3 linked regions of the Saccharomyces cerevisiae S288C genome follow. The gene in region 3 interacts genetically with the main gene of each other region. Each region holds a gene or a part of one and is shown on either strand. Other genes may lie near its edges. The genes, in order: NUM1, RTT109 and LTE1.

What was found.
Region 1: mutations in LTE1 (region 3) and NUM1 are lethal when combined (synthetic lethality), as found in Saccharomyces cerevisiae (3 studies listed by BioGRID, with this or other methods).
Region 2: mutations in LTE1 (region 3) and RTT109 impair growth when combined (synthetic growth defect), as found in Saccharomyces cerevisiae (5 studies listed by BioGRID, with this or other methods).

Annotation. Positions count from the first base shown.
Region 1 is NC_001136.10:753,799-757,398, forward strand, and holds the start of NUM1 (Num1p), read left to right. Parts: upstream 1-1,829; coding exon 1,830-3,600. Other genes in the region: KGD2 (dihydrolipoyl transsuccinylase), read right to left, coding at 1-1,268. UniProt on the Saccharomyces cerevisiae protein: Controls nuclear migration. NUM1 specifically controls the interaction of the bud neck cytoskeleton with the pre-divisional G2 nucleus. Functions in dynein-anchoring.
Region 2 is NC_001144.5:144,650-148,232, reverse strand, and holds RTT109 (H3 histone acetyltransferase RTT109), read right to left. Parts: upstream 1,943-3,583; coding exon 632-1,942; downstream 1-631. Other genes in the region: dynamin-related GTPase DNM1, read right to left, coding at 1-343; SFI1 (Sfi1p), read right to left, coding at 2,192-3,583. UniProt on the Saccharomyces cerevisiae protein: Histone chaperone-dependent acetylase that modifies 'Lys-9', 'Lys-14', 'Lys-23', 'Lys-27', and 'Lys-56' on histone H3 (H3K9Ac, H3K14Ac and H3K23Ac, H3K27Ac, and H3K56Ac) to promote nucleosome assembly, genomic stability, DNA repair and transcriptional regulation during mitotic S-phase.
Region 3 is NC_001133.9:103,822-107,658, forward strand, and holds the start of LTE1 (mitotic regulator LTE1), read right to left. Parts: upstream 2,052-3,837; coding exon 1-2,051. Other genes in the region: dolichyl-phosphate-mannose-protein mannosyltransferase PMT2, read right to left, coding at 2,451-3,837. UniProt on the Saccharomyces cerevisiae protein: GDP-GTP exchange factor for TEM1, a Ras-like protein, component of the mitotic exit network (MEN).

The sequences.
Region 1 (3,600 bases), on a different chromosome or scaffold from region 3:
GAGACAATTTGTCCATTAACAGTGACAGGTCTCTCTTTGACACCATGCAAGCCTAGGACGGCTGTTTGTGGTGAATTGATGATAGGAGTACCGTATAATGAACCAAAAACACCACCATTAGATATGGTGAAAGTACCACCCGTCATATCTTCTAGGGTTAATTTGCCATCACGCGCTTTATGACTCAAGCGAACAATTTCGTTCTCAATATCTAAAACACTCAATGACTCTGCATTACGAACGACGGGGGTAACCAAACCCTTTGGAGTGGCCACAGCAACAGAAATATCTGTGTAATCACGATAAACAATCTGGTCACCTTCAATGGCACCATTGACGGCTGGAATATCCTTGGCGGCCAAGGTACATGCTTTGGAGAAAAGACCCATGAATCCGAATTTAGTACCGGTCTTCTTAATAATCTCATCTTTATACAGTTTCCTCATTTCCATCAAAGCTGACATGTCAACTTCGTTGAATGTGGTTAAGGAAGCAGCAGTGTTTTGAGACTCTTTTAATCTTTCGGCAATCCTCAATCTCATACGGTTCATTTTGACCCTGGTTTCTGTACGTGGAAATGGTGTGAAAGAGTTAGAGGCTACTGGGGGTTCCTGCGCCTTAGAGACGGTCTTCTTTGGTTGATCAGCCTTTTTTGGTTCTGTAACTTCTTTCTTTGGAGCGGCTTCTTTCTTTGGAGCAGCTTCTTTCTTTGAAGCCGTTTCCTCACTTGAGTTTTCCCTTGCGGCGACACCTTGCGATGGCTCCGCTTGTTCGGTAGGCTCTGGCTTAGATTCTCCAGAACCCTCAGCAGGTGCTTCACCAGGCTCGACCTGAGCTAACTCCTCACCAACAGTGACAGTGTCCTCTGGTTTGAAATTTAGCTTCGTAACAGTACCTGATACTGGCGAATTGACCTCAATATCAATTTTATCGGTCTCAATAGTGGCCAACAGCTCGTCCTCCTTAATAAAATCACCAACGTTTTTAGTATATTCCTTTAAAGAGCCTTCAGTCAGGGACTCTGCCATCGGAGGAACTTCAATAGAGGTAGATTTAAAACGATTGCTAGTTATGGAGAACGGATTCGCCGCAACTGAAATTTTCTTGCCGGATAAATATATTGAACCTAAGGATTCGACCTTGTTAGCTTGTTTGAACAAACTTGTAGAAGCATGTCTCTTGACGAAAGAAGCAGCCATAACATTTCTAGCCACTTTAGATTTTACTAAGGATTTGGCAGCTGCAGTACGCGTCGCTCTGGAAAGCATTGTTTAAATAATTATCTGAAGTTGTGTCTTTGGTTGTAACAAATGTGGTAGTGAAGTTTATAACAATATATCTATTCACTGATATATACCGTTAAAGATAGCTGCCTAATTTTTTATTTCGGATTTTTCTTTTTTTTACGTTAGATATTTCCTCCCCTGAAGCTCAAAAAGAGATTATATATGAAAAGTAGGCCTAGTTGAGGGAAAAAGGATTTGCATTTGCTGATAGACCAAGTGTGGATCCGAGCCCTGTAGTAGAATGGTGCTAATGTAGAATAAGAATAAGCTTTAGGAACCATAGATTCCTGCGTAATTTGTGGCCGCTTTATTGGCTCACTCCGGGCAGGACCTTAGTTTTGATTGGCTGCAAAAAAAGGGTTGTTAATATCGTCTTTGACGGAGATGCGGGTGGCTGGAATTGTTTTGTTTATTATTCCCCAAGAGAGAAGAGACAAGAAGTAGTAATGACGATGGAACAAAGATCGGTTCTAATAGGACCACAGGGTTGAATAGAGACGAGTAAAGACGCAACGGTCAAGGCTTTCCACGAGACGTTCGAATATGTCCCACAACAACAGGCATAAAAAGAATAACGATAAAGACAGCTCAGCAGGGCAGTATGCAAATAGCATTGACAATTCATTAAGCCAGGAAAGCGTCTCAACGAACGGCGTAACAAGGATGGCTAACTTAAAGGCTGATGAATGCGGCAGTGGTGATGAAGGAGATAAAACAAAGCGGTTTTCGATTTCAAGTATTTTGAGTAAAAGAGAGACAAAAGACGTGCTTCCGGAATTTGCAGGCAGTAGTTCCCACAATGGAGTACTCACGGCGAATTCATCAAAGGATATGAACTTTACTTTGGAACTAAGCGAGAATTTGTTGGTTGAGTGTAGGAAATTGCAATCCTCTAATGAAGCTAAAAATGAGCAAATCAAGTCTCTCAAGCAAATTAAAGAGTCATTAAGTGACAAGATTGAGGAGCTCACTAACCAAAAAAAGTCCTTCATGAAAGAGTTGGATTCAACTAAAGATTTAAACTGGGATTTAGAATCTAAATTAACAAACTTGAGCATGGAATGTAGGCAATTAAAAGAATTGAAGAAAAAGACTGAAAAATCTTGGAATGATGAAAAAGAAAGCCTGAAACTTCTGAAAACAGATTTGGAAATTTTAACATTAACAAAAAATGGCATGGAAAATGATCTTAGCTCTCAAAAACTTCATTACGATAAAGAGATTAGTGAATTAAAGGAAAGGATTTTAGACTTAAATAATGAAAACGACAGATTACTTATTAGTGTTTCTGATCTAACAAGTGAAATTAATTCCTTACAGAGCAATAGAACTGAAAGAATAAAAATTCAAAAGCAACTTGATGACGCCAAAGCATCTATTTCTTCGTTAAAAAGAAAAGTACAAAAGAAGTATTATCAAAAACAGCATACTTCCGATACTACAGTAACATCTGATCCTGATTCTGAGGGGACCACTAGTGAAGAAGACATTTTTGATATAGTGATCGAAATTGACCACATGATTGAAACAGGCCCCTCTGTCGAGGACATTTCTGAAGATCTTGTCAAGAAATACTCAGAAAAAAACAATATGATATTGTTATCGAATGATTCATATAAAAACTTACTACAAAAAAGTGAAAGTGCATCCAAACCAAAAGACGATGAATTAATGACCAAAGAGGTGGCTGAAAACCTGAATATGATCGCGTTACCAAATGATGACAATTACAGCAAAAAAGAGTTTTCGTTAGAATCTCATATTAAATATTTAGAAGCTTCTGGCTATAAAGTTCTTCCTCTAGAGGAGTTTGAGAACCTAAACGAATCCCTATCAAATCCATCATATAACTATCTCAAGGAAAAACTTCAGGCTTTGAAAAAGATACCCATCGATCAAAGTACGTTTAACTTGTTAAAAGAGCCTACTATTGATTTTTTACTGCCTTTAACATCCAAAATTGATTGCCTGATAATACCTACCAAAGATTATAATGACCTTTTTGAGAGTGTCAAGAATCCATCAATTGAACAAATGAAAAAATGCCTGGAAGCAAAGAACGACTTACAATCGAATATTTGTAAATGGCTGGAGGAGAGAAACGGCTGTAAATGGCTAAGTAATGATCTGTATTTTTCAATGGTTAATAAGATAGAAACACCTTCGAAACAATACCTGTCAGATAAGGCAAAAGAATACGACCAAGTGCTGATTGATACTAAAGCCTTAGAAGGTTTAAAGAACCCAACGATAGACTTTCTAAGAGAAAAAGCTTCTGCATCAGATTATTTATTACTCAAAAAAGAAGACTACG
Region 2 (3,583 bases), on a different chromosome or scaffold from region 3:
GATTTCTTTCCTTGCCCCTATACTCCAAGGGCTTCGTACCAGCTTCGAATCCTGATATTTTTGTAACTTCATCATGTGGATTAACTGAGTTATCATCTTCCTCTATTAGAGGAGAATTTGGAGATATGTTATTAAGTTGAAGAACTAACGGTCTTCTTGTGACAATACCAGTACCCCTAGGTAAAAAATCTCTTCCAACTAACGTTTCCAATATCGAGGATTTCCCGGAGGATTGTGACCCAACAACAGCTAAAATGGGCAAATCGAGTGTATCGATCCCGGAGTCGTACATAACATCCTGCAGCTTGTTGACAGTAGGAATAAGATCTTCTAAACTAGCCATTCTTTATCCGTCGTATTTAGATTCGCTGGTAGCTACTTAATGATAAACTCTTTAGCAAATTGTGGCCAACCTGAGCAGTAGAGTAAAGGTAATATTTCATCCTACCCTCTTATTTATTGTTCCCACACTTTGTTTTGCCCGACCTTACAGGCGTGCACCGCGTAGTAAAAGTTGAGGACCTATCATTACCTAGAAAGGTGGCGATCAAGGTACTAACAATAAATACAAACATGCATTTTCTAAGATCGATGCTACATACGTGTACTAAATAATAAATATCAATATGTATCAAGTTTTAGGCAAGGCTTTAGCTTTTTTACGCGGTTTTAGCATTGTTATCGCCAACGTGTTGATGTTGCTTGCAGGAACCGGCTGATTTCTCTCCCGATGCTCCCTCTTCCCTGTTAAAGATTGAAGATTTGTTGCCATTCTGAGCAATAGAAAATCACGAATATTGGTGAAAGCTTCTATTGCGCCTTCCTCTGTATCGTATTCCTCTCCAGTAATGTACTTCTTGATTGCCCTAAACTGCTTCCTTGACTTCGGTACAATAACATCGGCACTAGATGGAAATAAAGATGGAGTGGCAAGAGAGTATCCCGAAATACCCATTACAGATGATGTGACACTTAATTTGAACTCTTGACGCTCTTGTAGTTCAATCCAGAAGGATGATAAGCTTACTTTGAGGAGGCGATCTTCCTCTGCCAATTGGTGTATAAATCTAGCCTTAGGATCGTCTGGGAATAATGGAATATTATATACCGCAAGAGAATTTTCTTTAGAGGTAAATATATCACCCACTTGCCATAGTGGATATTTCATCCCTCTTAGGTATGATCTTACTCGAGCAGGATCTTCGCCCGGTATCCTTAATTTTGCTTGTGTATCATTTTGAAAGCATTCAATTAGTAATCTATCCAAAATAAAGCCCCACCATTTCATTAGTTCCTCGCCATTTAGTATATGCTTTTTGCTGTTTTTTGAAGAATCTGGGAAGAGGTACTGGGATGCAGGTCTAGTAAATAAACAAATTTTGGTCAAAATCTCACGAGGACAGGTGAATGAGAGATAAAGATCTTGTTGAAAACGTGGAGATTCTATTTCTTTCAAAACGGTGCTGCCTGACTGTTTAAGCCTTCTAGCCAAAATCCTTAAAGTTCTTGCTGGCGTACTGGCTGCGCTAATCAGCTCGGGGGATATCTTCTTATATGATCTTATTGCCGGTTTTACTTTTTGAAGATAGTAATTCGGGTCGATTGATAATATAAATTCTAATATTATTTTTGTAATATCTCTAACGCTTACCCTCGTATTACAATAACCATTAGTGTCTGCCTTTGATACAAATATTAACCGTTCGGCATCTGCTTCATCCCAAAGCGTGACATACACATACACTTCTAATGAAAAAAAAACTTTTCCTTGGTGAAATAGACTAAAGAAGTGTTGAGTCTTGATCGTGCTTTTTGGGACCCTTTTGTCGTCCTTATTTGGGGTTACGACAGCATGGGTTTCTAACGGAATAGATTGCAACGATAAGTATTCAAATTGTTCACTGACAGGTAGCACGGAACTTAGGAAGTCATTCAGTGACATGTCTTATTGAAGACCGGTTGAATTGACCTTTTAACTCTACTGGACAACTCTATTGACAAACTGTAGTTTGTTAAGTAATGCGTTATGGCGTCCATTTTCCATTATAGCTTACAACGCGAACACGAAAAGTATAGTATGTTGTGATGTTTTCATAGACCTGGAGAATATTATTAGTAATTGTATGCATCTCAGAAGCAAGAAAGGTTACGACTACATATGCACACATACATACGTACATAATATATATATCTATTGACGTTTACGACTTAACGGGGATTTATCATGCTCTCTTATATAATCCATATCTTGATCGATTTTAGGAGAATTGGCGCTTAGGCTAAAAGGTACAGCGGGTATTCTGCCAAAATCAATATGGTCAACTTTGGATGGCATGTTTCTAGTGGTACGCCTAGGAGAATACCTTAGAGGTTTTCCTCGCGTCGGAGATCCGTTTAAGCCTGTCGTACTTTCAAGGTTGATCTGTTTTTTAGCTGTAGAATCAAGAACACTGGAAGATTTCACCGGACTTGGTATGGCTCTTCTTGCCCTGCTATAATGCGACTTCATCGCTTCCATTCTGTGCTGCTTTATTCTTTCTGAGCCTGGTATGGTTGAGGCGTTTTGAGAGTCTGATCTTATGGGAGTTTTTAGTTCATGTTTAAGATTGAAGTCCTTCCTTCTCTTTGGAGAACTGTCTGAACGATTTTTCCATAATAATAACAATCCCCTTACAGTGGCCCTGTCCCACCGATGACGAAACACCTCGACTGTCTCATCATTACGCTTAATTTTTAGGAATCGAAGACTCCACATTTTCAAGAATTTGGATGTAATTATGAATTGTTTATTAGCTTCCGATTGTTCCAATAATGTACTCATATAAAATATTTCGTCTAGATGAGTTTTCCAAATATAAAACGTCTTGACTAACACAAATTCTTCGCGAACTTCGTCTGCTAATTCTTCTGATTTTACTATCTCTAAAAGTCTTTCTCTAAATTTCTTCAGCACCATTTTTTCAAGCTGGTAGTTTCTCTTTGAAATAGCCTGAATGTTACATTCTTCTGTGTAGAAGCAAAATCTATTTCGCCAAGCGTTGAACAGTTGGCTTTGAAGTTCGCGCTCTTTACTCTTTTCATAAACGTGTAAAATATCGTTTAACTTATGCCTGACTTTGAACCTTGTGGCTTTCCGCCACTTTAAAAAGGCCTTAGAAAGCTTTACTCTATCCATAGAGGGCGCCAGTTTCGTATATAGCAAATGAACATTATCAATATGCATTAGCGTCCGTTTTACAGTCAAAATTGCATGTGTCTTACATAAGAAATTGTATCTATCCTCCAATTCCTTAGTTTTAATCAGGCGTTCTTTCCATATAGCTAGACACTCATTTACGAGACCCTCTTCGTAAAATTTGGATGCTTCGTCATTCATAGAATTCATTTGTAGCATCCTCCTTTTCCACACACCAAGATATTTTGCACAAAATGCCGTTTTAACATGTTCGCTCGATATTTTCCCATACTGTATTCTTTTCCTCCATGTACGATACGCGCTTGCTTGAATACTCTTTTTACATTTCTGCTCAAATATTTTTAACTTTACTTCAAGTTTCCAACTTCGCAATGATGACTTGAGCAA
Region 3 (3,837 bases):
ACGATGTTTCTGACTTTTCTTGACTTTTTCGTTACAGTATCTCTGGGTGGAGAGCTGGATGACAACTCGGAATCGTATGAGTATGTTATTGATTCTGTGTCTTCCCTACTATCGTTTAAGGGAGACGATTCTTTAAGATCAGGTAGAACATTTTTCAGAGGCGAAGAAGTCATGCTTTTTTGGGATTGGGAATGATTTTTCCTCCTTGGTGTCATATTTGTAATCGCTTCTGAGTTGGTTTTATCAGTTTCATGGAATAACAATCTTTGAGGTCCATTCTCGTCTGTACGTGAAGAACTATTATCTTTATCAAAGAGCCTCATACTTTCTGCTGAGTAGCTACCGTGCATTTTATTGTAATATGCTGTCGTGAGACTTTTTACTTTCCTTCGTTGCAGTGCATCATACGAGGGTGATGGCTGCATATTCGATTCATTGTTCTGCAGTTGCTTGTTTAAAGTATTAGTTAAAGAGATGACTGACTGAGCAATTGAACTTACGGTTTGATACAGATCCAAATTGTCCATAGCGCTAAAATTATCATTACTCGGTTTAAAGCTATTTTGTTGTAAAATCTTTATATCATGTATGTGTTCCCGACGTTCACAATCAACATTAACTGTAGGACCTCGGTTGTTATTCGAATGTGTTTGAACTTTTTCTATCAGCTGGTTTTGTAAATGCAGTAGGGACTCCACTTCATCTATGGTTCTTGCACTTAGGATGTCAAATTTAGAAGAATCAGAGTTAAGAAACTCTTCCTCTTCTTCCTTGGAAGATTTTCTATTGAGAGATGATATTGATACAACGTATTTGACAAACGCATCCATTTCAGGTTTCTGGTTTGCTGGTTTAATAGCACTCATAAATTTTTTATCATTACTGCTATCATGGCGATTATGGTTTTTCATCCACTTAGCTAAAAGACCAATAGCGCTGCGATGTAACACAGACATTGAAGATGTATTAGATCTACTATTACTGTTGCTATTGTTATCTAGAGATGATGTCGTCGATGTACCTTGAAGCGTTCCGCTTTGTTCATTTAAATCTTCAGGAATATATAAGGAATTCAGAATAAATTCAACTTTTTTAGCCGGTGTTGGAGGCATTATTTTATCGACTGCATATGATGACGGGTAGTCTACGCCTTTCATTAGTGTGGATACTAGAGTGACTTTTGACAAGTGGCTGATCTTTTGTTTACTATCTGACATGTCCTCGCTTTCATTATCAACTGAAGGTTCTTTCGCTATTCGGTGCTTCGAGTAAACATTTGATGTATTATCGGGAAATAAAAGCATAGAAGGGCTTCTCTGGTTTTTGGAAGAATTTGAAGACTGTAGCTTCTCCGGCAGTCTAAATACATCAGAAGTTTTATATAATGATAAAACGCTTTGGTTACGAAAATCAGGACTGGCAAAACTTTGCCTGGCGTAAATGCTCAGTCGGCTTCCTCTTTTGTGTAGGCTTTCTAGTTGCGTGAAATCCTTTAACGAATAATGCAGCCATGCATCAAAGTCTAATTTATCAGGTTCATTTAGTTCAATATTCTCCCAAACCAACTTAGAACAATGCACCCAGTTTTTTTTCAGATTGATTATACAGCTGGAAATTATTTTTGGGTACTGTTCAATGTGTTTGTCGTTTAGAAACTCGATCAACCGAAGTCTTAATGTTATGTTCGGTAAAAAATCTTGCACAAAATAATTCAGTATGGAATGCCTCAACAACACAAACGTCCTCACGAGGGCAACTTCACCAATTCGCCTTCTCTTAGCTTTTGCAGCATTTGTTGTGATCTCCCTAATACACCATCGAAATCTATAGATGAGTAAGTCGTGTAAGTCTTGAGGCGTTATAAAATTCCTATAAATAAGGAAAAAATCTGCAGATGCGTTGTAGTCTACACCTTCCAAAGGGGAAGAAAGGTGTACAATTAACGCGGGCAGGTCTGCACTATTCACTGGTTTGGATACACAATCGCTTTCATAGCTAATAACATTTGAGGATGGAGTCGGGTAGTAATCTTTCTGGCTAAATATTTCCATGGTTCAGGGTAGCGAATCTTTGAATGGCTAGAGGCTATGTAAAGCAAACAAAAAGGTTCGCGTAAATCAACGAGCGAATAACACGAGTACGGTTGGGGTGGGCTAAAGGGTTCAAGAAATTATCAGTTTCTGTTTACAGTTTTTTTTTCATTGTTGATAAAAAGATCAAGAATTTCATTATTCGCGAAAATCAAAATGCAGAAAGGAAAAAATAGAAGGGTAATAAAACAGCATCGGATCGCAAAGATGAGTAAGGAGAACAGCCTGGTTAACAATTAAAGAGTGTTTATCGAAATTCATTATATAGTGGTTTATATAGACCACTTCTTCTGCTGGTTGATATAGAAATTTTATTTAATTCTTGTTTTTTACTTATGTACTTACTACGATGATCTTAATTCATGCTTCTTGCTTGTCGGCAATGTCCCAAGTGGAAAACCAGTTTAAGTAGCGGAAGTTACTACTTGGTCCCTCCATACCAAATGATATTGGGGAGAAGTACCAGAAGCAACCAATTACAAGTGCCATGAATCCGGCGTATAGGACGAACCGCATGATACGGCCGCACTTAGATCTGGACCATTTTTGCAAACCGGCGTCGAAACAGTACGCCAAAATGATCAGTGCAAAATACAAGGCAGGCAAGTAATGATGAACGTAGGTGACTCTAGACATGATAACGAATGGCATGTAGTGTAGGCCCCAAGCTAGTAGTGGGTAGAACCCGCCCATTAAGAAAACGTTCCAGTTAGATGGATTTCTTAGGTCCACATATTGTCTTTGCCATCTGATCAGTAAGATAACGACCGTGGCCATGAATGCGAGGACGGCAACACTAGAAGCCCACGTGGAAGCTGGGGTACCCAATAGGAAGTATTTTGGATTATCATCACCCCAGCCACATAGTCTCAAACCCACATTCAAAGTTGGCCATTGCCATGCTGAGGAAGCTAAGTAATCAAATTTGTCTGGATCTGGCACCAAAGCGTTATTAGTGGCCATCATGGCTAGATTTAAATGAATGAAGTCTTTTAAGAAGTTGGTCTTTGGGTATTGAAAATCTTCGGGTCTTGGTGGCAACCTTTCATTTTCGTGGGTCTCGATGTTCCACCAGGTCCTCTTGTCCCTCTTGAATGGGTTTTTCATGCAGACAACCTCTTGTTGTCTGAAACCCCATTCGGGCAAACTGTTACCGGTTTGAGCCAAGTAACAGCCCATCTCCAAGTTCTTGATACGGAAAGAGGTGGTCAATGTGTGCAACTTCTCAGGGTCTTCATCTCCTCTTTGGTCCATGATCTCAATAACCCAATTGTCTTTGTTGTCACCAACAACATTGTCACCGTAACCAGAAACCTCCCATTGTGTCTTTGACACTGGTGCAGCAACTGGGTGGGTGTGCAAGTTTCTGCCCGTGCTTTTGTGTACCAATCTATAGGAGGTACCTGGCTTCAAATACTCGATGTCAGTTTCGTTTTCTGACCATGATGGTAAGCCTCTTTCTCTGTTGAAAAACCATTCGTTGTTAGCATCTTTGTAACCATAACAGGTTACTTGTTGTTGGTTGGACCCATCTGGATAAGTTTGTATATGTGAGTGCAATAGAGATCCTCCAAGAGCTTGGTTTTTGATGGAAACAACGGAGGAACCTAGAGCAATGTCACGGGGGCCTTGTCCGACGTCAGAACCCACTAATCTTGCTTGGAAAAGAGATGGCATGTTAGCATCACCTGTACCAGAATGCGATAATAGGTCAAAATGTATTTTGAAGCACAATAGGAAAATGCAG